Linked DNA regions of Tamandua tetradactyla. The protein of the gene in region 1 interacts with the protein of each later gene in a biochemical or structural test. Links are inferred from orthologs where the notes say so. Each region holds a gene or a part of one and is shown on either strand. Other genes may lie near its edges. The genes, in order: RNF8, UBE2V2, H2AC20 and MDC1.

The links.
Region 2: the proteins of RNF8 (region 1) and UBE2V2 form a complex in vitro, tested with the Homo sapiens proteins (2 studies listed by BioGRID). The link is inferred for Tamandua tetradactyla from reciprocal best matches to the Homo sapiens genes RNF8 and UBE2V2.
Region 3: of the proteins of RNF8 (region 1) and H2AC20, one has a biochemical effect on the other in vitro, tested with the Homo sapiens proteins (2 studies listed by BioGRID). The link is inferred for Tamandua tetradactyla from reciprocal best matches to the Homo sapiens genes RNF8 and H2AC20.
Region 4: the proteins of RNF8 (region 1) and MDC1 form a complex in vitro, tested with the Homo sapiens proteins (2 studies listed by BioGRID and IntAct, with this or other methods). The link is inferred for Tamandua tetradactyla from reciprocal best matches to the Homo sapiens genes RNF8 and MDC1.

The regions. Positions count from the first base shown.
Region 1 is NC_135331.1:94,290,380-94,297,720, forward strand, and holds the start of RNF8 (E3 ubiquitin-protein ligase RNF8), read left to right. Parts: upstream 1-4,341; 5' UTR 4,342-4,479; coding exon 4,480-4,590; intron 4,591-7,341. UniProt on the Homo sapiens protein: E3 ubiquitin-protein ligase that plays a key role in DNA damage signaling via 2 distinct roles: by mediating the 'Lys-63'-linked ubiquitination of histones H2A and H2AX and promoting the recruitment of DNA repair proteins at double-strand breaks (DSBs) sites, and by catalyzing 'Lys-48'-linked ubiquitination to remove target proteins from DNA damage sites.
Region 2 is NC_135332.1:90,674,154-90,681,164, reverse strand, and holds the start of UBE2V2 (ubiquitin-conjugating enzyme E2 variant 2), read right to left. Parts: upstream 3,026-7,011; 5' UTR 2,984-3,025; coding exon 2,968-2,983; intron 1-2,967. UniProt on the Homo sapiens protein: Has no ubiquitin ligase activity on its own. The UBE2V2/UBE2N heterodimer catalyzes the synthesis of non-canonical poly-ubiquitin chains that are linked through 'Lys-63'. This type of poly-ubiquitination does not lead to protein degradation by the proteasome.
Region 3 is NC_135330.1:5,947,692-5,953,007, forward strand, and holds H2AC20 (histone H2A type 2-C), read right to left. Parts: upstream 1,203-5,316; 5' UTR 1,148-1,202; coding exon 758-1,147; 3' UTR 597-757; downstream 1-596. Other genes in the region: histone H2A type 2-B, read left to right, coding at 204-596; histone H2B type 2-E, read left to right, coding at 1,456-1,836. UniProt on the Homo sapiens protein: Core component of nucleosome. Nucleosomes wrap and compact DNA into chromatin, limiting DNA accessibility to the cellular machineries which require DNA as a template.
Region 4 is NC_135331.1:85,600,528-85,607,785, reverse strand, and holds the start of MDC1 (mediator of DNA damage checkpoint protein 1), read left to right. Parts: upstream 1-4,256; 5' UTR 4,257-4,378; intron 4,379-4,388; exon of another isoform or gene 4,389-4,585; intron 4,586-4,707; exon of another isoform or gene 4,708-5,431; intron 5,432-6,185; 5' UTR 6,186-6,188; coding exon 6,189-6,324; intron 6,325-6,951; coding exon 6,952-7,258. Other genes in the region: TUBB (tubulin beta chain), read right to left, coding at 1,047-1,103. UniProt on the Homo sapiens protein: Histone reader protein required for checkpoint-mediated cell cycle arrest in response to DNA damage within both the S phase and G2/M phases of the cell cycle.

The DNA.
Region 1 (7,341 bases):
TCATGTTAAGAGCATGTACCCTTGATATGATGTGATGAGAATGACACTTTACCTTTGTGGTCTTCCTCCCCAAACCCATAACCCTAGTCTAATCATGACTAAAACCTCAGACAAATCCCAACTGAGGGTTATTCTACATAATACTTGGCCAGGCTGGAGTTATAACAATCGTTAGGAAATTAGGTTCTGGAAACAGACCTGAGTGTTACCTGCCATTTCATTTGTTACTTTGGGAATTTCTCTATGCCTCTTTCCTCATCATCCCTAAAGTGGGGATTATAATAGTAACTGTTGCTTTCTGTAGAAACAGAGCTGGAAGGATATTAAGGAATGATGAGAAAAAAAGAAAGGAAGAAAGAAAGAAAGACACAGATGGGCTCAGGGGGTCTGAAGCTTGAGTTTACTTCAGACAGACTTCAGACCCCCTGAGCCCGTCTGTGTCTTTCTTTCTTTCTTCCTTTCTTTTTTTCTCATCATTCCTTAATATCCTTCGAGCTCTGTTTCTACAGAAAGCAACATTTGGCGCCCAACGTGGGGCTCGAAGAAGACTCCAAATCAATATTAAGGAACCAAGGAAAAGTCTCATAGAGGCACGTGTGTCCAGCCGATAGAAGAGGACTCGAGTCATATTGGTAAAGTAAGCATTTTCCTTGGATCATCAGGGTAACGGGTAATCATAATAGGCGGCTGGAGGAGTATGTGTGTGTGTTAAAGCTACTGGGGTGCCTGTTAAAACATCTGAATTAGTAAGCTTATTTGATCTCATTCAAAAACATTGTTGTTGGTTTCAGCCTTAAGGCCATAATGTTTTAAATCTTAAGTAATGGAAATTCGTTATGAAGGCTTTGCAGTGAATATAAGACGGGGAAAATATTCCTGTTTCTATTTGGTTATTGTGTTCAGTCAGGCAATGAACTACCTGGCTCATGCTTTGTCTTAAACTCTAAGTTGTGTTTCTTCTCAATCTCCCACTACCACTTCTTACCCTGTTTCGACAGTTGCTTGAGCCGGACTCGGCAACTGGTGCCCAAACAGGGATCTAATAAGGGAACTCTTAAAGCATAAAGTGAGGAGATGCTCCAGGGACATCCACTACAAATACTACAGGCGGGCCTTTTTGGGTTGAGCAGTGGCCCTTATCTGTAGAGAGGTTTGAGGCTCTGACTCGGTTGATTTGGGAACAGTTTGGAGCAGGACGTTTACAGGAGTCTCGTGGTTCTTGGAATTCTCCAATATTTATTGCAGGAGGGAGGTCAGGAAAATGGAGAATGTTGACTGATTTGATAAAAGTTGATACTGTGATTCAGCCTATGGAGTCATTGCAGCCTGGCTTGCCCACACCAGTTGTAATTTCTAAGAACTGATTTATTATGATAGATTTTAAAAATTGCTTCTTTGCTGTGCCTTTGGCAGAGCAGGATAAAGAAAGATTGGTTTCTGGGCTTGTTCTTGATGGGCTGCCTTTATATAGGGATTCATGTACACCTGAGTCAGAAAGTATTCAGTGAGAAAGGTGCCATACCAAATGGGGGTCAGTGCTCATTGATGGTTCCTGTGGCAGGTTGGTCCCCAACGGGGTGTGCAGTTCGGGATTGTAGTTCTGACTCAAGGTATTCTGTTAGGTTACCTTTGTTTAGTCTGAATGATTATTCTATGAGATTTATACCAATACTACAGGTAAAGTCCTATGACTCAGAATGGGAACGGCAACCCCATCTCCTTTTGTTAACTTAAATCCTCAATAAACAGCAATTTGGAAACTGGCCATGAGTTTAGCTCCTATTCATGTTTGAAAAGAGAAATATATTTTAAGAACTTTAAAACTAAAAATTCTTGTTAAAAACTATATATTGATAGTTAATGCATATTTGAAACATTAAAGTATTTTAAATATTTAACATTATTCTAACAAATTTAATTTTGATGGTAATTACATATGTGGTAAAATATTTGTTCAAAGTAATGATTTAAGTATGAAAAATATGAAAGATGTATTTTTATTAATAGGAAAACAGAATAGTTTTATCCTAAAATGAATAACTGTTACTAAGCGAGAAAAATATAGGACAAAGCCTAAACTAATATAATAAGTGCTGAGGGTTTATAAAAATAGAAATTATGGTTAAAATCAAGAAAGATTTAATGAGTCTAAAATGACAATGTTTTCTTGGACTTTTAGCCTGTTCTAATGAAAGGATATAAAAAAAATTCTAAATAATTAGTTAGAAAGCAAAGAGTCTGTGTTTTATCAAAATAACTTGTGTTAACTTTTATCATGTTATTATCTGTATAAAAAATACTGATTTTCTCCTGGGTATCATCATACTGGCAAAAACTGCTTCTTGCTCTAAACCAGATGGCTTAATCTATTAATCTAAGTACTATTACTATAAATGAATCTATTACTGACTAAATAATATTCAAATCATTTAAATACCTAAATTCCTTTAAGCCAAAATACTTTAATGCTTTGTCCAGTGTTTATATAAACTATATATGTATAAACTAAATTTATCCCAAGATAACCATGGCTTATATTGGAAGCAGATCAGATTTGAGGGTTGAATGCAAGGAAAAAATATACTTGTGGAGTCTTTTTTGTTCACCTGATGTTGCCATTACATGCAACTGATATTGCTGGGAAGACCTTGGTAAGAAATAGTTAAAATGTACACTTTAGCTGGGAGGACTGCCTATCCCCCCAGAAGGCGGTGTACTTTAATAAAGATATCTAGGTCCCAGGAAGCTCCTCTTGGTCCCTAGCCAGTTCCCAGAGGACCCAACTGGGCCCAGTCATGTAAGCAAATCAGAATTTGGCCACTATTGTGAGAAAATATCATAAAAACTGCATGAAATAAATTTAAAATTAGCAAAAATGCACAACCAATTATAAAGAATCCACATTCTTGCATTCCTTTTTAATCAATCCAATGAATTCAATTTTAAAAATCTGGTCATTTACTATGGGTACACGTCACTATTGACACTCTGCTTTCATTTTTGCTATCTGCCACTTTAGGGATTCCTAATTATATGTTACAAAACTTGTTTGATATTTTACAAGGAGATTCTGATTTATTAAGCAAAAGGCAGTTAACAGCTGCAGCTGAATGAGAGTTACAATTAATTGAACAACGCATTCAAAAAGGACAGCTTGTTCAAATAGATCTAAAAAATCCTGTTGATTTTATTATTTTCTTTACCTTGCAATCTCCCACAGGCCTATTTTAGCCAGACGGTGTTTTAAAATGGATTTTTTTACCAAACAATTGACAAAAATGTTTAAATACATATTTGCAAAAGATTATTTCTTTAATAGTCAAAGGTCACCAAAGATATTATCAATTAAGAGGTCATGATCCCTAATTGCATAGTGTGTGATCTCACAAAGGAAGCAACAAGTAACCACCGTGATCACATTGTTTGTGAGGAGCAAATAAAGCACTTGGCCTAGTGCCCAGCACCCAGCTCTCAATAAATGTTAGCTGTTTACTGGTATGCTTTATAGATTTAATTTAGTATACATATTTTCTCCTGATATAATTTAATATAAGAAAATTGTTAAGCAGGTATTGGAAAACTGAAAAGATAACAGCGGACATTGTATCATCCCAGAGGAAGTTACTATCTACCCGGAGTAGCTACCATACTATGTTGGAGATTTAAACAAACAAACAAAAAAAACAAACACATTTTATTGAGAATAATTTACATACCATAGAATTCACACACAGGAAGTGTAGTTGTTTGACTTTTTTTTTGGTGAAACGGTTGTGCAATCACCACCACAATTCAGTTGTAGAACCTTTACATCATCGCCCAAATTCCTCAAGTCCACTTGCACTCAATCCTCCGCTTCCACTGGGCTCCAGGGAAGGACTCATCTGTTTTCCGCCTCTATAGATTTGCCTAGTATAATTTATCAAATTGGGTAATACAAGGTGGTCGTGAGAAATAGATACTATTGAGAGACAGACTTAGATTTAAAAATTACCACGAAGTTGTTCAAAAGTGGGTTACAGTTTTAAATAGTATGGATCTAAGTACAAGTTATAAGAATAGGGGTCGTAAGTACAAGTTTCGAGAGAAGGTGGGGGAGGTAAGTGAGGAGAAGCTCCAGTCTGGGGCGGCTGGGACTGGGGTTGGGGTTCTGGAGAGTGCGGGAAGCGGGGAGGGTCAGTTGATTGCCTCGGGCTGCCCGGCCCTAACCAGAGGTTGGACGTTAGCACGCTAGCGTTAGCACACCTCCACAGCCGCCTGGCCGTTTGCGCAGGCGCACTGCCCCTGGCTTGCTCTCCGGAGGCGGGGCTGGGCAAGTAGCCCGAACTTGTGATCACATCGATCGCGAGCGCGAGGCGATTGCTTCTGTCTGTTGATTAGGTATGGCACTCGCGAGGAAGCCGAGAGGCGGTAGGAGCTGGGACCTGGACCTCGCTGTGTGTTGACCGCGGCCGGGGTCTGACCTAGGCCGTCTGGGCTATGGGGGATCCCATCTCCTTAGACACGGGAGACCGCTCCAGTGGTTTGAGCTGGTGCTTGCAGCGGGTGGGGATGGACGCCGAGTGGCTGCTGCTGGAGGCTGGAAGCGAGGTGAGGGGGGGAGGGTTCCAGTTGGTGCGAGGGACGGGGGTTGGTGGAAGTAGAGGAAAAGGGGAGGGGAGGGAAGGCGTAGGGGCCCGTGGGACCGAAGGAGAAAAATGATTCTGGTGCGAGCGGTTGTGGGGTCTGAGTTGGAGTGTGTGTTGGGGGAAGTAGACATCGAGTGAGAAAATTGAAATACGGTTCATGGGAGAATAGAGGGCCATAAGGGGCCGGGGACAGAGGCGCTGGACACAGGGACTAGGAGCTAGAAGATGGCCCCTTTGAAAGAGGCCTGGACCTGAGAGACGAGCTTGCGCAGGAGTCGGGGTTGTAGGAAGTATTAGAGTGGAGGGAGCAGAGCGAGGAGTGCGCATAGACGATGTGAGAAGAAACTGGAGTTTCCAGGAGGAGAAAGGGGACTGGGACGGCCAGTTGGGGAGCGAGGGAAGTATGAGGCAGAGCTGCCCCAACTTCCACCTTGAGTTGTCAACCCCCTTAAGTTTAAGGCGGAGTCAGGAAGGGCTACCCAGAGCGTGAACTCCCGAGTTTATTTTGAAAACGATTGCGAGTTTTAGTTTATGTCCCCTAAAATACTCAAACCTTAATGTGAAAGTATCTTCCTCTTTTCCAACTCGGAGGATAATTGGCACTTTGGGATAGGCCACGTTTATCCTGTGAGTCTTGTACCGCCGCCGAGTGGCACCTCCTGAAGTGGGCAGAAGGTGGGGATTCAGAAACGTAGGAGTTCTCCTCTCTAGAGGTTGCTTATGATGTTTGCTAATGCGTGCATAAGTGGAAAAAAAAAAAAGAAATTTGAGGTGAGGTTCCAGTTTGGGGCGCTGTGCTTGGTTTGAAAGTATGTATCCCAGAAAAGCCATGTTTTAATCTTGATTCAGTCTTGAAGGGGCAGCCGTTTCTTTTAATCCTGATTCAATACTGTAGGTTGGAAACTGAGTGTGACCTTTGATTAGATGGAGATGTGACTCCCTCCATTCCGGGTGGGTCGTGATTTGTTTACTGGAATCCTTTAAATGAGGAAACGTTTTGGAGAGAGTCAAAAGCCTCAGGGTGGACTTGAACTTCAGAGCAGAGCTGACACAGATGCCAACACTTGGAGAACAGAGACACGGATGTTTGGGGATGTTTGGAGATGCTTGGAACTCAGCAGACATCGCCATGCGATGTTAAGCAAGCCAGAACCTGTAGAAAGCCAAGGGAAGCCAAGAGATAAAAGCCAGCCCCTGAGAAGCAAAGTGAGGAACTCTTACAAGAACAGAAGCTGAAAGCAATGGAGCCCAGGAGCAAGGGACCAGCAGATGACAGCCTCGTGACTTCTGAGCTGACAGAGGTGTTCCAGACCCATCAGCCTTCCTTGAATTAAGGTGTCTGTCTCTGGGTGCCTTAGTTTGGACATTTTGTCAGTATTAGAACTGTAAACTTGTTAACTTATTAAATTCCTCTTTTCAAAAGCTGTTCCATTTCTAGTATATTGCATTCCAGCAGCTTGCAAACTAATACAGGTGTCTAGGAGTGGGATGATGGTTCTAGAAAGGAGGAGTAAGAGTTGTGATCATGTTGGGAAGGAGAGGTGAATCAGGAATCCACCTGTGGTGATTGAAGTTTGGTTTGGAAATAATTTGAGAGGTTCACTTTGCAGTAAAACTAGGTGGTTGATCATTATTTGGGATTAATTTCCAAGTTTTATTCTTTGTATATTTAATTAGACTTTTCCTATAAGCAGTATAGTCTTCCCCAAAGTGTATTCATTTTGGGAATTAACAAATTAAAACATTAACACCTGGATAATGCTAACTTTACTTCTTTTGTATAGGGTTGGGGTTTTCACAAGTGTCACTTAATCTGAGTCCCTGTATATGCGCTATACTCTCACATGCAACCATATTAGATACTTAATACTCGAGTGTTAACACATTCTTTCAGATTCAGTTGCTATGGATTAATTTATTACTTCTCCTGGACAGCGTGTGATAGCACTGGGAGTCTTGGAGGGTAGCATAAGGAGAAAGAATTCAAGCACCTGCAGCAAGGGCAAGAGGACTGTCAAGCACTCTTGGACATTTAAGCTATTGGGTAATTTTGTGTGGCTGCTTCTATGGGGAAAGATGCATACAAACCTGAGTGAATGGTGAAGATGACTGCGGCTTGCCTAGAGGGCCTGGGCAAAGGAGAAGACCTGCTTGGCGTGATTATCCTCAAGATGTGCTCTTTTTTTTTAGATATTAAAAAAGAAATTTAATATCTTCAGTAAGTGAAATGGAAGGAACCCTGTTTTACCACTTTATCTGTGAAATGTAGGGCCTTGAGGGGAACTGGGAAGGTAGGAAACTGACTTTACTCTGCTGTTACAATCAAATGATGCCAGCACACCTCCTAAAATAAATTGGCTTATTGAGGGTAAGATGATGCAAAAAATATAAAAATTAAAAGCTTATCTGGCATTTAATTGACTTTTCTTCCACAGTGTGTCAAATGGGAGTTGGATTTTATTTGTACATTTTCTAAGGACCCGATCTGTTTTGAAATCCTTATGCAGAGGGAAACTGTTGGGAAGATTCCTTAAGCAGCTCTTGGGATAATTCTTATGAGGGTGGGGGAAATTAATTTCTTAATTCTGCCTACTTCTTTCCCTTCTGCTTTATGTATTCTACAAAAATAGTCATTACACGTGTTGGTGAGCCCAGCAATTAGCAAAAAGAAGCCCTGGAAGCCAACTTTGTCATCAATACTGGTCTAGATCCT
Region 2 (7,011 bases), on another chromosome or scaffold:
TTACAACGAAGTGTGATATCCTGGATGGAATCCTGGGACAGAAATAGTACATTAAGTAATATCCTTTTTCCACTGAAGGCTCGAACTAAGGTAAAAACTAAGGAAATCTGAATAAAGTATGGACTTTCATTAATGTGTCAGTACTGGTTCAATAATTGTGACAAACGTACCAAACTAATGAAAGCTGTAAACAATAGAGGAAACTGAATGTGGGGTATATGGGAGGTTATTTGAGAACTCTCTATTCTATGTTCACAACCTTTTTGTAAATCTAAAGTTATTCTAAAATCAAAAGGTTAATTTTTTTTAAGTATTATACATACTTCTTTATCTAACACCAACTTTTATTAATGATGCTAAGATCTAACGAAATTTTTGAGTCACAGATACTAAATTCAATGAATTTCTATTCCCAGCATTATTAACACTGGTTCTTAAACCATATTCTGCATAATCCTCTGGATCCCAGGGATGACTCTGCTTCTTGGAAAGGAAACCCAGACAGTGGGGTCTGGAACCACTGCAGCTCCACTCATATTTGTGGGAAGGTTCTAGGTCTCCAAATCAAGGCCTCCGCTACGAAGGCAAGTTTGAAAGCCATACTCTAACCTCTTAAAGAAGTAAAATCCAAGTACTGAGGAATATGCCAACTTCACTTTTCAGCATAAGGGAGAGAACACTTCCAGTCAGCTATGTATAATCTTTTATTTCTTTAGGCCTCAGTTTTCTCTTCTGTAAAATAAGATGACCAGACAGGATGATAACCTTCCAGCTAAGGCTCAGCTAATTAGATTCTGTTTCCGACTCTTTTTGTCTGGTAAAAGGAAGGGTAAAAGCATGTGATTTGGATACTGTACATTCAAACATAATATTTAAAGATCAAAAAATATTTGAAAATGGATTTTTTCCTCTCAAATAACCATTTTTTCAATATAAAAATAAAAAAACGTATATCACATCCATTTAGCTCTTCTAATTTTAAATTTCAAGCTACAACACATTTATTTCAAATACACAAATACACCTGTATATTCAAATATATATCCAAATATACAGGTACTGTTTCACTCCCATGCTACCAAAACAGACAATACGGAAGTATACCTGAAAGAAACGATATTTCAAACATAACTATTTTGAAACTATATTTCAAACATAATTATTCAGATTTAAAACACAGTCCATTTTGCACTCAACAGTCCATAGCCTAAAAAGCCGAAAATGGACAAATGAATAGGAAATTGACCAGGGAAAATTCTTAGCGACAGATTCAAATAGAAATTCAGTAGTTCATGAAAACTCAATGAATTGCCTAAAATATTTTACTTTGTAATTATGCTTAGGTTTCAAATTTCATTAAGTCAAAAAACAGTGATTTTCTCCTGCCATGCCAGAGACCCAGGTTCGATTCCCAGTGCCTGCCCATGTAAAAGAAAAAATAAAAAAACAGTAGGAAACAGTAACAGACAATGTAAAATACAGGTTTCTGATACATAATAAATATGCTAATGATAAGCAAATTCTTTATAATTTATAATAAAAAATAGCTTACTCCACTTTCCCAAGCCTCCCAAGTCCTTCAAAAACGACTAGGCAAGGTTAACAAAAAGTATGTGCCATTGAAATCATCTACTGTTTTTTTTTTTCCAAAGTATTCTAAAACTCTTCCACATGTATGGTATTAGAAAAAAAAATCCTGCTTAAACAATGCAATCCACAAAATAAAAACTCAAGTCAAATCAAAATACACAATTTTATTATTAAAATTTCAAGACCCTGTAGGTACTGAGCACAACTCTTTAAGAACACCTGAGATATTCAATCTGAGGCAAGTACAAATTAAAGTAAAATGTCATTTTCTTAATAAAACGTGCTCAGAGATAATACTAGTTATCTTTGACCCTAAGTACATTGAAATATTTTTCCAATTCTAGATTTTTTAAAGATCTTATCACCTATAACACCTGTACAAAACAAAGCTGAGATTCAAAAGATATTTTTTATTAAAAAACACATAGGATGTATCCTAAGGTATTAATTTAAAAATACCAATTATGACACACATTTGAGAACTTTCATTCTAGCAAAGATTTGAAAATTCGTTTTATTATGCAATGATGACACGAAATATTAAATGACACTGTTCTATATAACCTAATGTTTCAATAAAGATTAGAAAAGTGACATTATATGCATTAATATTTTTAAATCGTAAAATTTATTTTTTTTAATTTAACATTTTTAACTTAACATTTTTTTAATGGTCAAATTTCTAAAACCTCGGCAGTAATGCTTAATTTCAAGGCTGTGCTAATAGGAAATCAAACATTGTATACAGTACGGAAAAAGAGTTGAACGGCTTATCTAAGAAACCACTTGTTCTTCAATTACCTTTCATTTTGCTCTGCGGTTTAATTTTGTTTGCACCGCAGTTTTTCACTTAAAAAAAGATAACACGTATTCAGTCACGTTAAAATGATCATCTCTCCCTTATTCTTCCACAACAGCAACCAAAAATTCAATCCTGATCGGAATTCGAGCACAGGAGAACCGGACCCCCACAGTCCAGGACAACCCTTAATTCGAAGCCCTTCCCGGTCCCGTAGCTGACACCCGCCCACCTTAGGCCTCCGCTCCGTGCCCCCGCACCTCCTCCGGCCCAGACCTCCCGTGCCCCAAAACGTAAGACCCTGCGAGTGTGTCCGCGCCGGGGTACCCCGCCCCAGGCCGCGCGCGCGCCGCGAACGCGCAAACACGACCTGCAGCCGCCTCCCCTCGGCCGCTCGGGCCTCCTCGCCGGCACTCGCCGGCCCGAACCCTGCCCAGACCTCGTCCGTCGACAGCTCGGGTCCACGGGCTTACCCTCCGACCTTTCGCCCACTGCCCGCGCCCGCCCGCCAGCAGCAAGCGGAGCGCGTAGGGCTGAGTCGGACAGAGAAAGGAAGGCAGCCCGGCCCGGGAACCGACCTGTGGAGACCGCCATCTTCTCCTGCAGCCCAACGCAGCCGCACGCACGTCTGGCGACGTGTTGCGTCACTTCCGGGAGCCCGCCTTCCGCCTCGCCTCTGAGCCCCGCCCCTGGACCTTGCGCTGAAGGGCCGACGTAGAGCAGTCGCCCGAAACCCGAGAATCGGGAGGAATTGGAACGGCGCGTTGGGCTCGAGGGGCAGGGATATGGGTCCTCTGAACGAAGCTCTCCCGAATGAGGGAGACTGGGTAACTCAGGTCCAACCCGAATTTTCCACCAGCGAAAGCTGAGGTGTCTGGCTGGGCATCCAAGAAGCCCCCTTGCCAAGCAAACCATGCATTTTTTTTTTTCCTACATGGGCAAGCATCGGGAATCGAGCCCGTGTCTCCTGCATAGCAGTCGAGAACTCTGCGTGCTGAGCCACCGTGGCCCGCCATGCATTTTTCTGTAAGAGCATTTTAAAAAATAAAGCTAGGGGAATTTTTGTGAAAGGGCATATGCCTCTTTGCTGAACCTGATTGAAATCACAGAAACTACTACTCTTGCCATAAATAGTTCATCTTATCGTCTCAAATGGGTGATTCTTGTACATTCCAAATTCTACCCCAGTTGAGACTTGGGAGAGTGGAGTAAGCTATTTTTTTCCATTTTCTCCCAGCACACCTCAATTATAAAACTCTTTCATTCTGTATATGAGCCTCATGACTACCTGGAATGTGATCCAGGCCTTCTGGTGTGTGATCCATTGTTCTCAGTTCTTTGCCATCAGTTACTCTCCGGTCATATCCAATCCCACCAATCATGACTAAAAATAGTTGATTTAGCATTTGTCGTTTGTTGTGAAGATAATTCATATCAATTCAGAAAACAAGTATTTTCTTTTTCTAACAGCTCCTGCGTGTTCTTCAGGAATGCTGATCATTTATAAGCATTTCTGTAATCTATTCAATATATTCATGTATATTATATACATCTTGTTATGTCTCACTCCCCTGATAGTCTCCTGCATTCCAGAGATCTAATAACGGTAGTGATTCACTTTTTAAAATCAAGTAATAAATGTTATGTCTACTATATTCATTTTCTTATTCGATCCTCACAGCAAGGTTCATATGAGGAAACTGAAATTAAGCAACATTTCCAAAATGAAAAAGATGGTAAATGGTGAAAGCGGGTTGTGAAATCAGGCGTCTGAACACCAACTGTAGTACTTTTTTAATACATCATGCAATTATGTTTACTAAATATTATACTGGACCAGACATTGAGCTGAGTTCTGTGCTTTCCAGGAGCTCAGAGGAGTAAAATGAAGCAGCCTTTTTGTATGCAACTCATATACAATGATCTGCCTGCCCCTCTTACTGTTTATTTAGAATGGAAGCAAGATTAAATAAAGGAAGACCTCACAATTTTGTTGATTATCTTTAACCCAGAATTAGCCAAACTGTGAAGGTTGAGAGAACAGTCCTCCAGACTGCCAAGTCTGCCCAGACTTCAGACACCAACTGCAAGCAGTTAGGGTTAACTTACAAAGTTAGAGGACACAGCCCCCAAGATTGCTCTCACTTCTTACAACAACTGCAGAGTGGTGGAATGGCAGAGTTCCAGAAGCCACCCTAAGGTCAGTAAATCAGTAAAAGGACTCACTGGAAGTTACTATTCTCACAGTTGCAGTTTATTACAAGGAAAAGGTACAGTTCAAAATTAGCCAAAGATCTTTTAATGGGAATGGTACCAAAAGTGAAGAAGGAAGCCTCTGCTCCTCCAGAAACCAAAGCCAAAGCAAATGTTTTGATGGCCAAAGGGCGGGGCTGAAAGGTGGCCAAATGCACACACACAGAAAAAGACCCACGCATCACCCACCTTTCATGAGCTCAAGACACTGGGTCTCTAAAGACAGCCCAAATATAGGAACAAGCGTGACCTCTAAACCTTCATCAAGTTCCCTTTACCCTCTGAGTCAGCAGTGAAGGAAATTGAAGAGAACAACATACTGATGTTCATTGTGAATGTCAAGGCCAACCAGAACCAGATCAAACAGGCTGTGAAGAAACTCTATGACATTGACGTGGCCAAGGTCAACACCTTAATCTTGTCTGATGGAGAAAAGAAGGCATACATTCCACTGACTTATAACTAAGATGCTTTGGATGTTGCCAACGAAATTGGGACCATCTAAACTGAATGCAGCTAGCTAATTCTAAATATAATTTTTTTCACTGCAAAAGGAAGATTAGGCCAAGAGTTGCATAGGGCAAAGTGTGGGAGAGTCCCAAACACAAAATTTCAGTTGTCCTCAGGCCTTACCTCTGACTGCCCCGTAGAATTAAAACATCTGGAACCAGGGACGCTCACCTGAACTTTGATGTCCAGAGTTTTAATTGAGCTTCATTATGTAGGCAAGATTAATTAATCAATTGCCCACAACCTTGACTTCAGTCACCAGTTCCTCACCTACCAGGTCAGGCTGATATAATGTGGCCCAAGGGGCATAGTATGAATCCCCTTCTAAGCATAAACTACCACGTAGGGCCCAAAAGGACCCAGAATGAATAATAAAGACACTTCTATCCTCAGGAAATTTTAAGGGTTTATAAATTTCTTCCAGGGAACTTAGGGCAAAGGCCCAGGCTCTCTTCTACAAGGCCAAATTCTTTAATTCACACCTCCCATCTGTTTATGCCTCACAGATATTCCTGACGAAAGCAGTTACAATGAAAAATAAAAAGAGTAGCATCATTGAGAGTTTACTAGATGCTAAGCATTGTACATAAAGAATATTTGCTTTTGTTTGTTGTTATATATATATTTTTTAATTAATAAAAAAGAAAAATATTTAAGCTTTCTAGCCTCCTACATTCTGGAGCAGCTAGAAGGAAAAATCTGGGGCGGGCCACGGTGGCTTAGCAAGTAAGAGTGCTTGCCTGCCATGCCCGAGGACCTGGGTTTGATTCCCGGTGCCTGCCCATGTGAAAAAAAAAAAAAAAAGGAAATGGAAAAATCTGAGAGGATCATGTGGTAGCCCATGACAAACTCTGGGATCTGTCCTGTAACTACTTGTTGAAGAGTGCTCTGAAAACTATGGCTTTTTTTTTTTTTTTACTATTTCTTTGTTTTGTATACATGTTATACTACACAGTAAAAAAGTTTAAAAAAAAAAAACTTCAAAAAATAGTTATTGAAGGGAACTTCCTCAACATGATAAAGGGAATATATGAAAAACCCCAACTAACATCAAATTCAATAGGAAAAGACTGAAAAATTTCCCTCTAAGATCAGAATGTCCACTGTCACCATTGTTATTCAACATTGCACTGGAAGTTCTAGCCAGAACAAATAGACAAGAAAAAAAGAATGAAAGGCATCCATATTGGATAGGAAGAAGTAAAACTCTCACTTTCTGCAGATGATAAGATAATACATGTCAGAAATTCTGAAAAATGTGCACCAAAACAACCATAGCTAATAAATGAGTATAGCAAAGTGACTGTTTACATCAATACCCAAAAATTAGTAGTGTTTCTATAAACTAATAATGAGGAATCTATGGCGGAAATTAAGAAAAAAAATTCCATTTAGAATGGCAGCCAAAAGAATAAAATATTTAGGAATAAGATATATATGAATAAATTAAACTAAGAACACAAAAGACCCTTACACTGAAAACTACAAGAAGTTGCTAAAAGAAATCATGGAAGATATAAATGGAAGGGCATACCATGTTCATTGATTGGAAGACTAAATACAGTTAAAATGTCAATTCTACCCAAATTGATTTGCAGATTCAATGTAATACCAATTAAAATCCCAACAACTTACTTTGCAGAAATAGAAAACAAATAACCAAATTGATTTGGGAGGGCAGGGAGCTCCAAAAAGATAAAAATATTTTGAGAAAGAAAAATGAAGTGGGAGGTCTCACACTACCTGACTTTAAAGCATATTATAAAGCTACAGTGGCTAAACAGCATGGCACTGGCATAAAGATAAATATACTGATCAATGGAATTGAATTGAGTGACCAGAAATAGACCCTCTCCTCC
Region 3 (5,316 bases), on another chromosome or scaffold:
AGGCCCGTCCCTTGCGCGCGGTGCGGGGCGCCCACGGCTGTCGCCCGCTCGCCATTGGCGGCGGACGCGGCTGCGCGCTCAGCCAATCAATCAGGGCCCCCGCCCCGCTCCGCTCCCGACCTGCGCTTATAAATCACAGCAAATGGGTTCCCTGCTCCATCCCTGCCCTTGAAATAGAAACAGCCACTGTGCTTTTAGCTGCAATGTCGGGCCGCGGGAAGCAGGGGGGCAAGGCCCGCGCCAAGGCCAAGTCGCGCTCGTCCCGCGCCGGCCTGCAGTTCCCGGTGGGCCGAGTGCACCGCCTGCTTCGCAAAGGCAACTACGCGGAGCGGGTGGGGGCGGGCGCGCCGGTGTACATGGCGGCGGTGCTCGAGTACCTGACGGCCGAGATCCTGGAGCTGGCGGGCAACGCGGCCCGCGACAACAAGAAGACGCGCATCATCCCGCGCCACCTGCAGCTCGCCGTGAGGAATGATGAGGAGCTCAACAAGCTGCTCGGCGGCGTCACTATCGCGCAGGGCGGCGTCCTGCCCAACATCCAGGCCGTCTTGTTGCCTAAGAAAACGGAGAGTCACAAGCCGGGCAAGAGTAAGTAACCACGAGATGTGACGCCGCCACCGCCCCCCACCCAAAGGCTCTTTTCAGAGCCAACTAAACAGCAAAAGAAGGGCTGATGACAGGTAGCGCTAGCTCTTTCCTCTGAAAAGTTGGGTGGCTCTAAAAAGAGCCTTTGGTGGTCTTTGGCGTTATCGACAGATTATTTGCTTTTAGCCTTGTGACTTTCGGTTTTCTTTGGTAAGAGAACAGCCTGGATGTTGGGCAGGACGCCGCCCTGCGCGATGGTAACTTTGCCCAACAGTTTGTTGAGCTCCTCGTCGTTGCGGATAGCCAGCTGCAGGTGGCGAGGAATGATGCGCGTCTTCTTGTTGTCGCGGGCCGCGTTGCCCGCCAGCTCCAGGATCTCGGCCGTCAGGTATTCGAGCACCGCCGCCATGTACACCGGCGCGCCCGCCCCCACCCGCTCCGCGTAGTTGCCTTTGCGAAGCAGGCGGTGCACTCGGCCCACCGGGAACTGCAGGCCGGCGCGGGACGAGCGCGACTTGGCCTTGGCGCGGGCCTTGCCTCCCTGCTTCCCGCGGCCCGACATGGCAGATCAAAACTAAACACACAAACACACCAAGAGACAGAAAATTGGTGGTAGCAACGCGGCAAAAAGAAAGCCTTTATAAGCCTTCCTAGGGGTGGGGTCAGGAGCGAGACTCTCATTGGTCCTAAGTTGGCTCCAGAAACAGCCAATAAGGTCCAGAGTAGGCGCTGTTACGTAGGCATTGATGATAAAACATGGCCCAATGGAAAGGAAAGACTTTTGGAGCCCTAATTTGCATAAGGTGGTTATAAAAGGTTCAGGCCCGCCTATCCTTGTGTCTCCTTTGCTGATTTCAGCGTTATTTTATAATGCCTGAACCAGCAAAGTCCGCTCCCGCTCCCAAAAAGGGTTCCAAGAAGGCCGTCACCAAGGCGCAGAAGAAGGACGGCAAGAAGCGCAAGCGCAGCCGCAAGGAGAGCTATTCCATTTACGTGTACAAGGTGCTGAAGCAGGTGCACCCGGACACTGGCATCTCGTCCAAGGCCATGGGCATCATGAACTCCTTCGTCAACGACATCTTCGAGCGCATCGCGGGCGAGGCGTCGCGCCTGGCGCACTACAACAAGCGCTCCACCATCACGTCCAGGGAGATCCAGACGGCTGTACGCCTGCTGCTGCCCGGCGAGTTGGCCAAGCACGCCGTGTCCGAGGGCACCAAGGCCGTCACCAAGTACACCAGCTCCAAGTGAGCCCCTGCCGGGCGGGGCGCGCACGCCAGCGCTCGCCTAAAGCTCCAAAAGGCTCTTTTCAGAGCCACCCACTCGGTCACAAGAAAAGAGCTTTCTCCATCTAATATTTCACTTTAGATTCGTTTCTAAAGGAAACGTGGAATCGGGAGTGATTCGACCCCGGCCCGTGACTAGTTATGTTTTTGAGTTCAGACCCATCTTTATCCTTTGTGTTTTCAGGGAAAGGATTTATTAGGATGCAAAGGATTTGTTGTTTCCAATTGTTTGTAGGGTAGGCGGCGCTTTGTTAACTTGGCGTGGAAAACGGAGTGATTTCAACTGATGAACTTAATGGAAAGACCCCAGGATACATTGAGTTCGGGTCGGAAACGTCGTACGACAGCTTTTTGTATTAGTTATGTAGCCATTCTTGGAGCGACTTGCATGTGGGGTCACCGGTGGCCGCCCAGGGGTCCCAGTGGCTGTAGGCGCCCCCTGCGGAGCCCACACCCAAACGCGCCGGGTTGGACGGGGTGAATTTTCAGAATCCCGCTTCGTTTCGTAATTCGTAGCTTCCGATTCCTCTGCTCACTACAGGATTCTAAAACCTTATTCCGCGCCCCCCCCCCCCCCCCCCCCGGTTCTACGGGTTATTTTACATATAACGCTGCTTGGAACGCGGGGTCCTTAGGTCACCGCAATCCTTGCCCTGGTCACGTAGGTTTGGTCCCAAAGTCACCTCGGGGAGACCGCCCCCCCCCCACCAGATAAGCCATTCAGGAGTCCGCGCCTCTTATTCCAGTCTTTCCGTTCACTCTTTTTTAAACTTCTTCGTAGCAGCTTGGGAAATTGTGTGGTTCGTTTGTCTTATTTATGGTCTTTATTCCCCTCCGGTTTGCGAGCCTTTGAGGGCAGGAAACCTGGCCTGGTTCTCGCCTGGTTCTCAGCTGTATCTTCAGCGTGGCAGGGCCAGAAGCAGTGGGCACTGGCTGCGTGAGTATTTGAGTTCATTTCCCACACCGTTTTCTTGGACGAATGGGCGCGCTTGTTTCCCCTTAGCTGTGTCTGAAGCCACCACGCCTCGGTGAGAATGGACCTGTGGTTTGGAGCACATTCCAAGTACAGGACCTGTCTGCAGCCACTGGGAGGGGCGATGGTCAGGTCCTTTCTGCGCGGGGGGATGTGGTTTTGGTAAGACCTCCCTTTACTTCCCGGCTCAGAGTAGTGTCTTCGGGGTGATTATCAAGTTCAGAGCGTTCGTCACTGGAAAGTGCAATGAGCCTTCCAAGCCAGCTCCCTTTATGCCCGCCCCCTCCCCCCCCATCCTGATTCTCTTCTTCACTGGGACTGCTGTTAATATGCCCTATCTCCCTTGTTTCTCAGGAGACTCTTACTTAGCTGGGACAGGCAGGACCCCAGGGCTAAAGACCCCTTCACAAATGAAGTTCACAGTCACGAAACTAAGGTTTTGATGGTGTTTGTATCCTCAGGTATGAAGACAATTGCATTTTGGTTTTATTTTGTGGAGTTATAGAATTTCGAATGTTTCTGTCCAAGTTGTGCTTTTACTGACGAAGGCACTGCTGCTGGTCTGAGCAGTTTCTGCACTTTCCTTTGGGTTAAGGGACTCCTGAGTTGATTCCAGAGGTTTCATGAATCCGAATAGGCCCTGATATTAGTGCAACTTGTATCTCATTCTTGTGTTTTCAAATGTGTGTAAATGCAGTTGTTAAAAATAAAGTTATGAATTAGGGTGGGCCATGGTGGCTCAGCAGGAAGAGTTTTCGCCTGCCATGCCGGAGACCTGGGTTTGATTCCTGGTGCCTGCCCATGCAGAAAAATAAATAAAAATAAGGTTGCCAATTAATTTGAAAGCTTTGCTGGGTCCGTTAATCTGTAATACACTCTCAGTTAAACAAAATAACTGCCACTGAATCTTCAAGAAAGCTGAGTACCTGTGATCTGAAGGAAGAATATACACCTTCAGCACAAAATTCACTTCCCCAAAGGTCCCCTGGGGCTGAAATAGTCTGATGAGAAATCACTTTTCATGCTTAGTGTTTTGAAAACTGTGACAACAGATACAGAGTATAAACAGGGTGGAGGAAATAAAGGCTTTAAAGTTTACTTTAGTAAATGATAAAAGCTCATACCTATAACAGCTCTTACCATGTGGCATCTCGTGTTTTGTGTCCTTTACACTCATTGACTCATTAAATCCTCACCAAAACTGTATGAAGTAGGTATTACCATTACCCTCCAATTTACAGATGAGGAAATGGGCACAGAGAGACCTTTCCTCAGAAACTCTTCAGAGAATAAGCTGCTAGTCTCTGTAGCTTGGGAAATTTTTTTGATGACCTGAGAAAGTAGGCTCACTAGCTGAAAATCAGGACCCTCCACCCCTACCCCTGGGTGTTTGGGGAAATAGCTATCGCTTAAAACTTAAATGAAACACCACCTGCTTTACTCTTTTCAAAATGCACACTGGATGTAAATCTGGGTGGGGGGAGGTAAGGAGGTGATGACTAAAGTCTTACATACCGCTCCCGAGGCTTTGGGAGGGGGTTGGGGAGCTCTGGCTCTCCTGCCTAGAGGACACAGCCTAACTCAGCTGGCCTGGCCCACCTGGCACTCAACAGTTGGAATCTTTTCATGAACACTGAAGAACACTACTTGCTGGTTGCAGGCCCTTCCTGGACATGATGTTCATTAGGAAGGAAGTTACAGAGTAAGGAAAGGGAAAGAGGTGATAGGGTTTGCTATTTTCACTGGGAGGGGAGGTAATCAGTGATGGTGAGATTAATCCTAAAGACTCTCTTTAATCATTTCTTTCTCCCACTCAAACATCTTTAATTGCCTTTGCTTATATTGGAGTTAATAATCATAATTATTAATAATAAGTTACTATTTTAATAATTACTATAATTAAAGTAATAATTGCTATCACTTACTGAGCACTTAACTATTACCTGGTCCTCTGCTAAGATACTTATGTGAATTATCTCAGATTTTCACTTGATAGGTACCATTATTATCCTTATTTCACAGGTAAAGGAAATTGAGGCTCTGAGAGGTTAAGTAACTTGCCCAGGATTGTACAGCAAGTTAGTAGAACTGCAGTCCAGTGCACAGTTTTAAAAACCCTGGTGTTTAAGGCTTTCCGTTATCTCCATCTTTTTTTTTCCATCTTTATCCAGGTTTTCTGCTCTAGTCAAAGTGATCTACTCACCTTCTCCTAAGCCTACTTGTTTTTTTCTGACTGCGGATTGGACTGCCTCTGCTTTCTGGCATGGCCAGCTTTCTTCTTCAAGTCAAGGCTCTTATGAGTTCCTTCCCCCTTGGGAAAAGAAAGTTTATCCTGTTTCTCTCTGGAGCCACCATGTCATAAGGTCAGAATTTAAAAGTGGAGAAGGACTAGGACCATCCCAACTGTCCATCACCCAGATAAATGGATTAACAAATATAGGGAAGCAATAGATATGCCCTCCACTGGGCTTG
Region 4 (7,258 bases), about 8.7 Mb from region 1:
GCCCCCAACTCGGCCTTCATGTGACTGCAGCGCACGCGCGGGTCTAGCCGCCGACAATGGGAGGCGTCGCGCGTGGGAGAGGCGGGGCCAAGGGCTTGAATTACGGGCGCGTGGGGCGGCGCCCGGCTGGGGCTCGCGCGCCCCCGCGGGCCAGCAGGACCGCATTGTCCTCGCGCGCCTAGGGCGCCCCGCCCCGCCGGGCCCGCCCTTCTGCTACAACGTAGCAGCGGCACTTCCTCCCGTCCCCTCCCCCGCTACACTGTAACCGCGCGCAAAAAAAAAAAAAAAAAAAAACCCTAGGCCTTGGAATTTTATTCCTTCGCTAAGTTTCTTTTTCTTGCTTTAAAGGAGGGTTGCCCCTCTCCCACTTAGTCTCCTACGGCTATTTTAAGCGGGCATGCTCCCTCCTTTTCTTCCACCCTCTCCCTATCTGTTCACTCCGTTAAAGGATCTCGTTAAGGAAAAATGAAATAAAATTGATCACGTACATTTTATCCTTTCATTCACTTAAAACTACAGGGACCGGAGCCGTGCGGGGGTCCCTTATCTTTTGTTAAGGGGGCCGGGCAGCAGTCCACATGGCGCATTGTACCCCACCCCACCCCCAGTTAGGCTAGACGCCCTCTGCAGCTGCCCGCCCAGCCTCGCCCCTTCCCCCTCGGGCTTCGCCCTAGGAACTCCCGCCAAGGGGGGGGGGGGGCGAGCGCGAGATGCACATGGGGCAGGCTCGCCTCGCTTTGTCTCGGGAGGTTTCCGCATCTCGCTCCCCAGTCCTCGGACCGTTAGGAGATCCTCTAAGTGCAATTTTACAACTCCTCGGTTTTCCCGCCCCCGAAACCCGAAGGGTCCTTTCCGAAAGTGAGCCTGCCAAGAAAAATAATCCCCCATTTTCCAAAGGCAAATTCTAGCCACAAATATGTATAAAACTTCCCCCCCCCCAGCTTAAGGATGGAGAGCACGAATATCCCACAATCATTCTTCATAATTTAAGGCTTTCCTTCTTCCTGCTCAAAAGAAATACAGTTAAAGAGATTTAAAATCCTTACCTTGGCACCGATCTGGTTGCCACACTGACCAGCCTGGATGTGCACGATTTCCCTCATGGTTAAAATTTATTTTAACTTTTTGCTCGCCTCAAAGTGTGTGCGGGGCAAGAGAATGATATGGAATCTTTCCCTCCGCGGGTCGCAAGCTGGCAGGATGGCTCGTGGCCCGGAGGCTGGAGCAGCAAGGTCCGAACGCGGCAGCAGGAAGGCTTTGAGAGGGAGAAAGAAGGAGGGGGGAGGGAGAGGGAGGGAAGGCGGGCAGGGCGGGGCGCGCGTGCGCGGCGGCTGGGAGGCGGGAGAACCGGCCCCGCGCGGCGGTCGGGAGACAAAGCCTCATCCACGCTGGCCCTGATTAGTTGATGGCAGTCATATACCAGCCGTCCATTGGTCTCGACTCGCAGTGGACGAGCGCGCTCCTCTCTGGGAGTTGTAGTCCTCTATTGTTGTCCACGCCGCAAAATGAGGTGACTAAAGGGTGGGTACCGGGTGATTTTTTTTGTGTTTCGTTTTCTTTTGTTCTTTTAATGAAAAATGATGACCTTGTGCAAGATCGCTTTCTTTACTCCTGAGTTTTTTTGCACAGAAAGGGAGTTTTCGAAGATACAGGAATTGGGAAGACTGAGATGCCAGGCGTTGGGAAGTGGGGTGGGCACGCCCAGAAAGCTCCCTGCTGCCTTAGCTCTTGAAAAGATAGGAATGCTTAGTTCAGCGAAAACTGGGGAGAAATGCGGCACCCTGCTCTGCTACCCGACGTCTGGTTCTTTGTTGACCAAACCTGAACTCCAGTAAACCACTGCGCCTCAGGAAGCAGTTGGGGATTGTCCTTCTCTTATTTATTCGCTTGAGAATTTTCGAATGATGTTTCGAAAGAGAAACAGTATTGCAGCAAGGACTTTCCAGGATAGAGATGTAGCTGCTGGAGGGTATGTTCAAAGAATAAGTTGAATGGTTTAGGCAAGTTGATGTCAGAGTACTGTGAAGCCAGAAGTTTCAGTCCAGTAGGGAATCTGGGCCTCATGTGGGCGTTGTAGACATCTTGGTTTTCTTGTCAAGCAAGGAACTATGGAGTTATATGTCTGATAGAAATAGCAGGGTCTTTCCAGCTTGCCTTTCTAGGTACTTTGATGAAGGCAATGTTTTTTCAGTTTGCTGCTTTCATTTGTAGCTAACTTCAAGAGCTACAAATGAAATGGGGAGAATGGGGGGATCGATTGGTAAGGAGAAATCGGATGGGATCCAACAATGCCACTCTGACCAAAAGGGAAAAGAAGTGTAACAAATAAGGTATCAGTGGCTGAGAGAGGTCGAGAGGCTACTCTGGAGGTCACTCTTAAGCTTCAGTTAGACATCGTTACCTATCATAACTTGCCAAACCCTAACCAAAATCATTCTTGCCAATCCTAAGAGTGCCCAGGGAAATATATAAGATTCTACCAAAGTTCCGTGCATTAGGGTTACCTACAACCTCCAGATGGGTCCCTGGACAAGATAAATCCTGAATGCAGAGGGGCCATCCTCTCCAGAACATCAACTGGTTCCATCCCCCATCCCATATTTTCAACAGCCCCCTCCAACGTGAAAAAGTTAGAATGGACATAGCCCAAATACCCCTAGAGAGTGGGAGAAAGCTCAAAGATGATGGTGTAGTTATACAGAGAAGGTAGGGTTTAACAAATGAGTATGATTGCTGAATCATTCATTACATTGATATTTATTTTCATCTCCAAGTGTCTTAGAGCAGCTAGAAGTAAAAACCTAAAATTGTGGAAGTGTGACCCATACCAACCTCTGAAAACTGTTCTACAACTAATTGTTGCCATTTGCTTTGAAATTTATTGCTTTTTTGTATATGTTATTTTTCACAAAAAAAGTTGATTGTGATTATAAAAGCACAGCTATATGATGATATTGTGAATGTGCGCTTTGGATGATTACATGGTATGAGAATATATAATATAAATAATCTTAAAAATTGGATGGGATGATGTCACAGTAGCTTGCCTTTTGTTCCCAAATATCCAGTCATTTGATAGATATTACGTGTTCATCAAACCAGAAGCTAGAGATACAAAAATGATTAAGAACTAGCGTCCTGTCTTCCAGGACCTCAGTTTGATGAGAGTTGGATAAACATAGTAACAATAGTGTGGGAAGCACTATAATAGAGATGTGATTTCAAGGTCGTCATTGTTAATTCACATTGGATTTAATACATTTCTCAAGTCACCTTCTAAATAATGGAATATCAAGTTGTGTAAGACCCTTCCTCATCTAGTCACTTTAGATAGAATATTTTATGTTCTATACCATGATCACAACGAAAGCCATTATTTTGTGGCAGTGGAAAGAGTTTAGAACTTAGAGGACTTGTTTCGAATTTATCTCTACCTTACATTAGCTTTAGGAACCTTGGCAAGTCGTTTAAACCGCAGAGCTTCAATTCCTACGTTTGTTAAAATCTAGTTCTGCCTCTTGTATTATGTGGTCAGAATTAAATGAGAACTAATGGGAAAAATAAATGCATTTCAAAGTGCTGCAATTCTTTTCATGTCAGCTTGAGATACTGAAATGATTTTATTATCCTCCCACTCGTTGAAAGGTGCGGACAGATCTCAGTAATCCTTTTAAGACGGTTAGCCCAGCAGTTCTCTCTGTTCGCCTAGGGATCTGTGCTTTAGGAAAATGACCTCAAAATCTCCGTCAGTGATGTATCCCCAAGAAGAAATGACATGACCTCTGCAGAACAAGACAAGTCAAAAGGAAATGAAATTCCATTGCTATGAGGAGTCCTCAAGCGCCACGCCTACGGCCTGTTCGCACTGCAGCCTGCAGCCACGACTGCAAGCCGCAACCCACTTCTCATGAGTCAGCGGACACCATGTCTGGGAGGACCGAGAAAGGACGCCCTGGCCGCACCAAACGCATTGAGCGATGGCTATCGTATAGCCCTTCTATCCTCCGCAAGCAGCGGGCGCCAAACTCTATGGTCACGGTTTGGAAATCTGCGCGGGAAGTGGGCAGTGAGCGGTGAAGCGGCGGTGGGTTGTCCCTTGGAACTGCCCAATCGAGGTGCGTAGTTGCCTGCGCGCAGAGCAACATCGGATTAGTGTCTCGCAGTGTCCTGCGAGAAGCTGCCCGGGCGGGGCGGGGTGGGGCATGCCGGGGGTGGAGTTTGGGCTGCTTCAGCGCGGGAGGCTCCCCCAATCAGCGTGCAGCCGAGCTGTGAAGACAGCCTCAGGAGCCAATCAGCGAATCGGCTCCTTCCCGGCGTCCGCGCTCGCGCCACCTGGATCGCGGCCGTTACTAGCGGCGCGCGCGACGACTCAAAGTAGGTGAGTTCTGGACGCCCAGTCCGCTGCTCCCCGGGTGCCATCTTGATTCTCCCGGAGGGCGGGAGGGGCGTGCCCTAGGGGCGCCTGGGCGGAGGCGACTCGGAAGTTTGCTTCTGGGATTGTCCTGCCCATCCGCACCTGACGCCCCGCCCCGAGCTTAGGTCCGAAGACGCAGGGAGACGTTGGATCCTGAGGGGACCCATTGGTGTAAGGTTCCAAGATGGTGGCCCTTGGGTTGGAGTCAAGGGTCGTGGGGGACCCGCTTAGTTGTTCACAGGGTCGGAGTTAACACTTTTTCCTACTTGTCACCAGTCAATGGTTTCTCTCTAGGGTGGCATCTTTTTAAGTGGATTCTACCCGTGTTATTTTGAGTTTACATCTCCTTCCATTTGTTCTTTTTTCGATAAGCTCGGCGATGTAACTCTAGGAGGGCAAGGTTAATGGCCCTGCCCACGAATGGGTGTTGAAGGCCCAAATGAAAGTAATAGTTCCAGTGTGATAAGAACTGTTAGGAGAGACACGAGTCCATTGATCCCTGTGGAACACACAGGATCCACCAGGCGTCCTGGAAAGGCTTTGCTGAGGAAATGACATTTAAACGGAATTTTGAAGAATAAGTGGGAGTTGAACAAGGAAACTAGGAGTGAAGGGCAAGGGCAAGCTGGGCTAAAGCAGGCAGGTGTAAGGAGATGCGGGGATAGTATGTTGAGAGATAGGGGAGAAGGCCCATTTGGCTGAACCATAGGCTGTTGGGGCAGGAAGGTTAGTGCATTGCTGGACATGAGGTTCAGCTAATTGAGGGTTTTACTAAAGAGTTTAGGTTTTTGTTTTGTCCTGGGATCATGGAAAGCCTTCAACGGGTATTGACAGAGGCGAGACATTATCTGGGTGATCTTGGACATGTTCTTTAACACATCTGTGTCACAGGTTCTTTTATCAGAAAAATGGGAGCTACCAGCTACCTTAAAGTGTTTTGTACAGGTTAAGTGAATCAGTCAGTGTGAATTAATTAAAACAGTGCTTTGCACAAAGCAAGCCTCTGTATGTCACCAGGTATTGTGATTCTTTGCAGTTTTCTCTGACCACACTATATGGCAAAGTGTAAAACACATGGACCTTGCAGCCAGAAGCACATTTATTCCTGTCCTTTCCATTTGCTGTGTTATCCTGAGCAAATGATTTAATATTTTTAGTCTTAGTTTCCAAAATGCCTTTCTCATATGGCCGTTAATGCCAGACATGTAACACAATGCCTGGGCCATAGTTAATGTTCAGCAAACGTTTGTTCCCTTTAAAATTATGTTTTTCAGGGTGGGCAAAGGTGGCATAGTGGCAGAGTTCTCACCTGCCATGCCAGAGACCCGTGTTGGCTTCCTGGTGCCTGCCCATACAAAAAAAAAGAAAAATTATGTTTTTCAAACTGAATTATGACCCAAGAGTAAATAGTGAAATCAGTGTAGTGGTTTGCAAATTAGCATTTAAAAAACAGAGAATTTAAAAAAAGAATGAAAAGATATCAGTGTATTGTAAATAGTAGGGTTTAGCATTATTTCTCAAAACCGTATTTTTATAAATAAGCACAAAGGTTTAAATATATCTGTACCAGGAGCCATATCATTTTCTACTTTATGTCATCATCAAAAATGTTTGAGAAATACTTCAAAAGACTATCGAGAGAATGAATGAGAGAAAAAGAAGCATCAGTTTCCACAACTATCCAGTTTTACCTCCAGTTATCAATTTCTTCTCTGATGTTGTGTGTGTATGAACTAATGGTGAGGACAATGATAATGTGTTTCTTTCCCAGGTCATGGAAGATACCCAGGTTATTGACTGGGAGGTTGACGAAGAGGAGGAGGAAGAGAGAGCCAGTGAATCCTTGGGTTATAGTTTGGAGCCCTTAGGGCGACTGCATATCTTCGGCAGTGCCCATGGACCAGAAAAAGGTCAGGGGATATTGGGTACTGAAGTGTTTGTATAAGTCGTTTACTTTTTTTGTGAGGAGGTATCTGGAGGGTTGCAGGAGGCTTATATATATTTCAAGGAGATTTGAAAAAAATTTTTTTATCAGAAATGGAAAAGATGCTATTTGAGTTTATTGTTCTAATCTAGTGCCCTAGACTCAGTGGGAGTGATTTTACTTTCGTAGGAGAAGATGGAGAGATTCAAATTAAAATTCAGGGTGGAGGGATATGGCTTATATATATATATATATATATACGCTGTACAGTGGGGGTCACATTTCATTCTTTTCCATTGAATATCCCAGTATCACAGCACTATTTTTGTTTGCTGTTTTTTTTTGTTTGTTTAAGTACATCGGCCAGAAATCAAACCTGGGTCTCCTGCATGGGAGGCAGAGGATTCTACCACTGAACTAACATGCACTCCCTTGGAGAGAGTATTGAATATGAATAATACATTGTGTATACTCTTCAGTGCCTAGATGTTCTAGAGCCTTTTGTTTTTCTAATGCAAGTGGGGGCCTTGAGTGAGTAGAGAAAAACGTAACAGCAACATTTTCCTAAGAAAAGACTCTGGCCTTGGAACCTATCTTCCTTTCTAATTCTTAGATTTCCCACTATATCTTGGGAAGAATGTGGTAGGCCGAAAGCCTGACTGCTCTGTGGCCCTGCCCTTTCCGTCCATCTCCAAACAACATGCAGTAATTGAAATCTTGGCTTTGGACAAGGCACCTCTCCTCCGTGATTGTGGGAGCCTCAATGGTACTCAAATCCTCAGGCCTCCTAAGGTTCTGAGCCCTGGGGTCAGTCATCGTCTGAGGGACCAGGAGCTGATTCTCTTTGCTGACCTGCCTTGCCAGTACCATCGCCTGGATGTCCCCCTGCCTTTTGTCTCCCGAGGTACCCTAACTGTTGA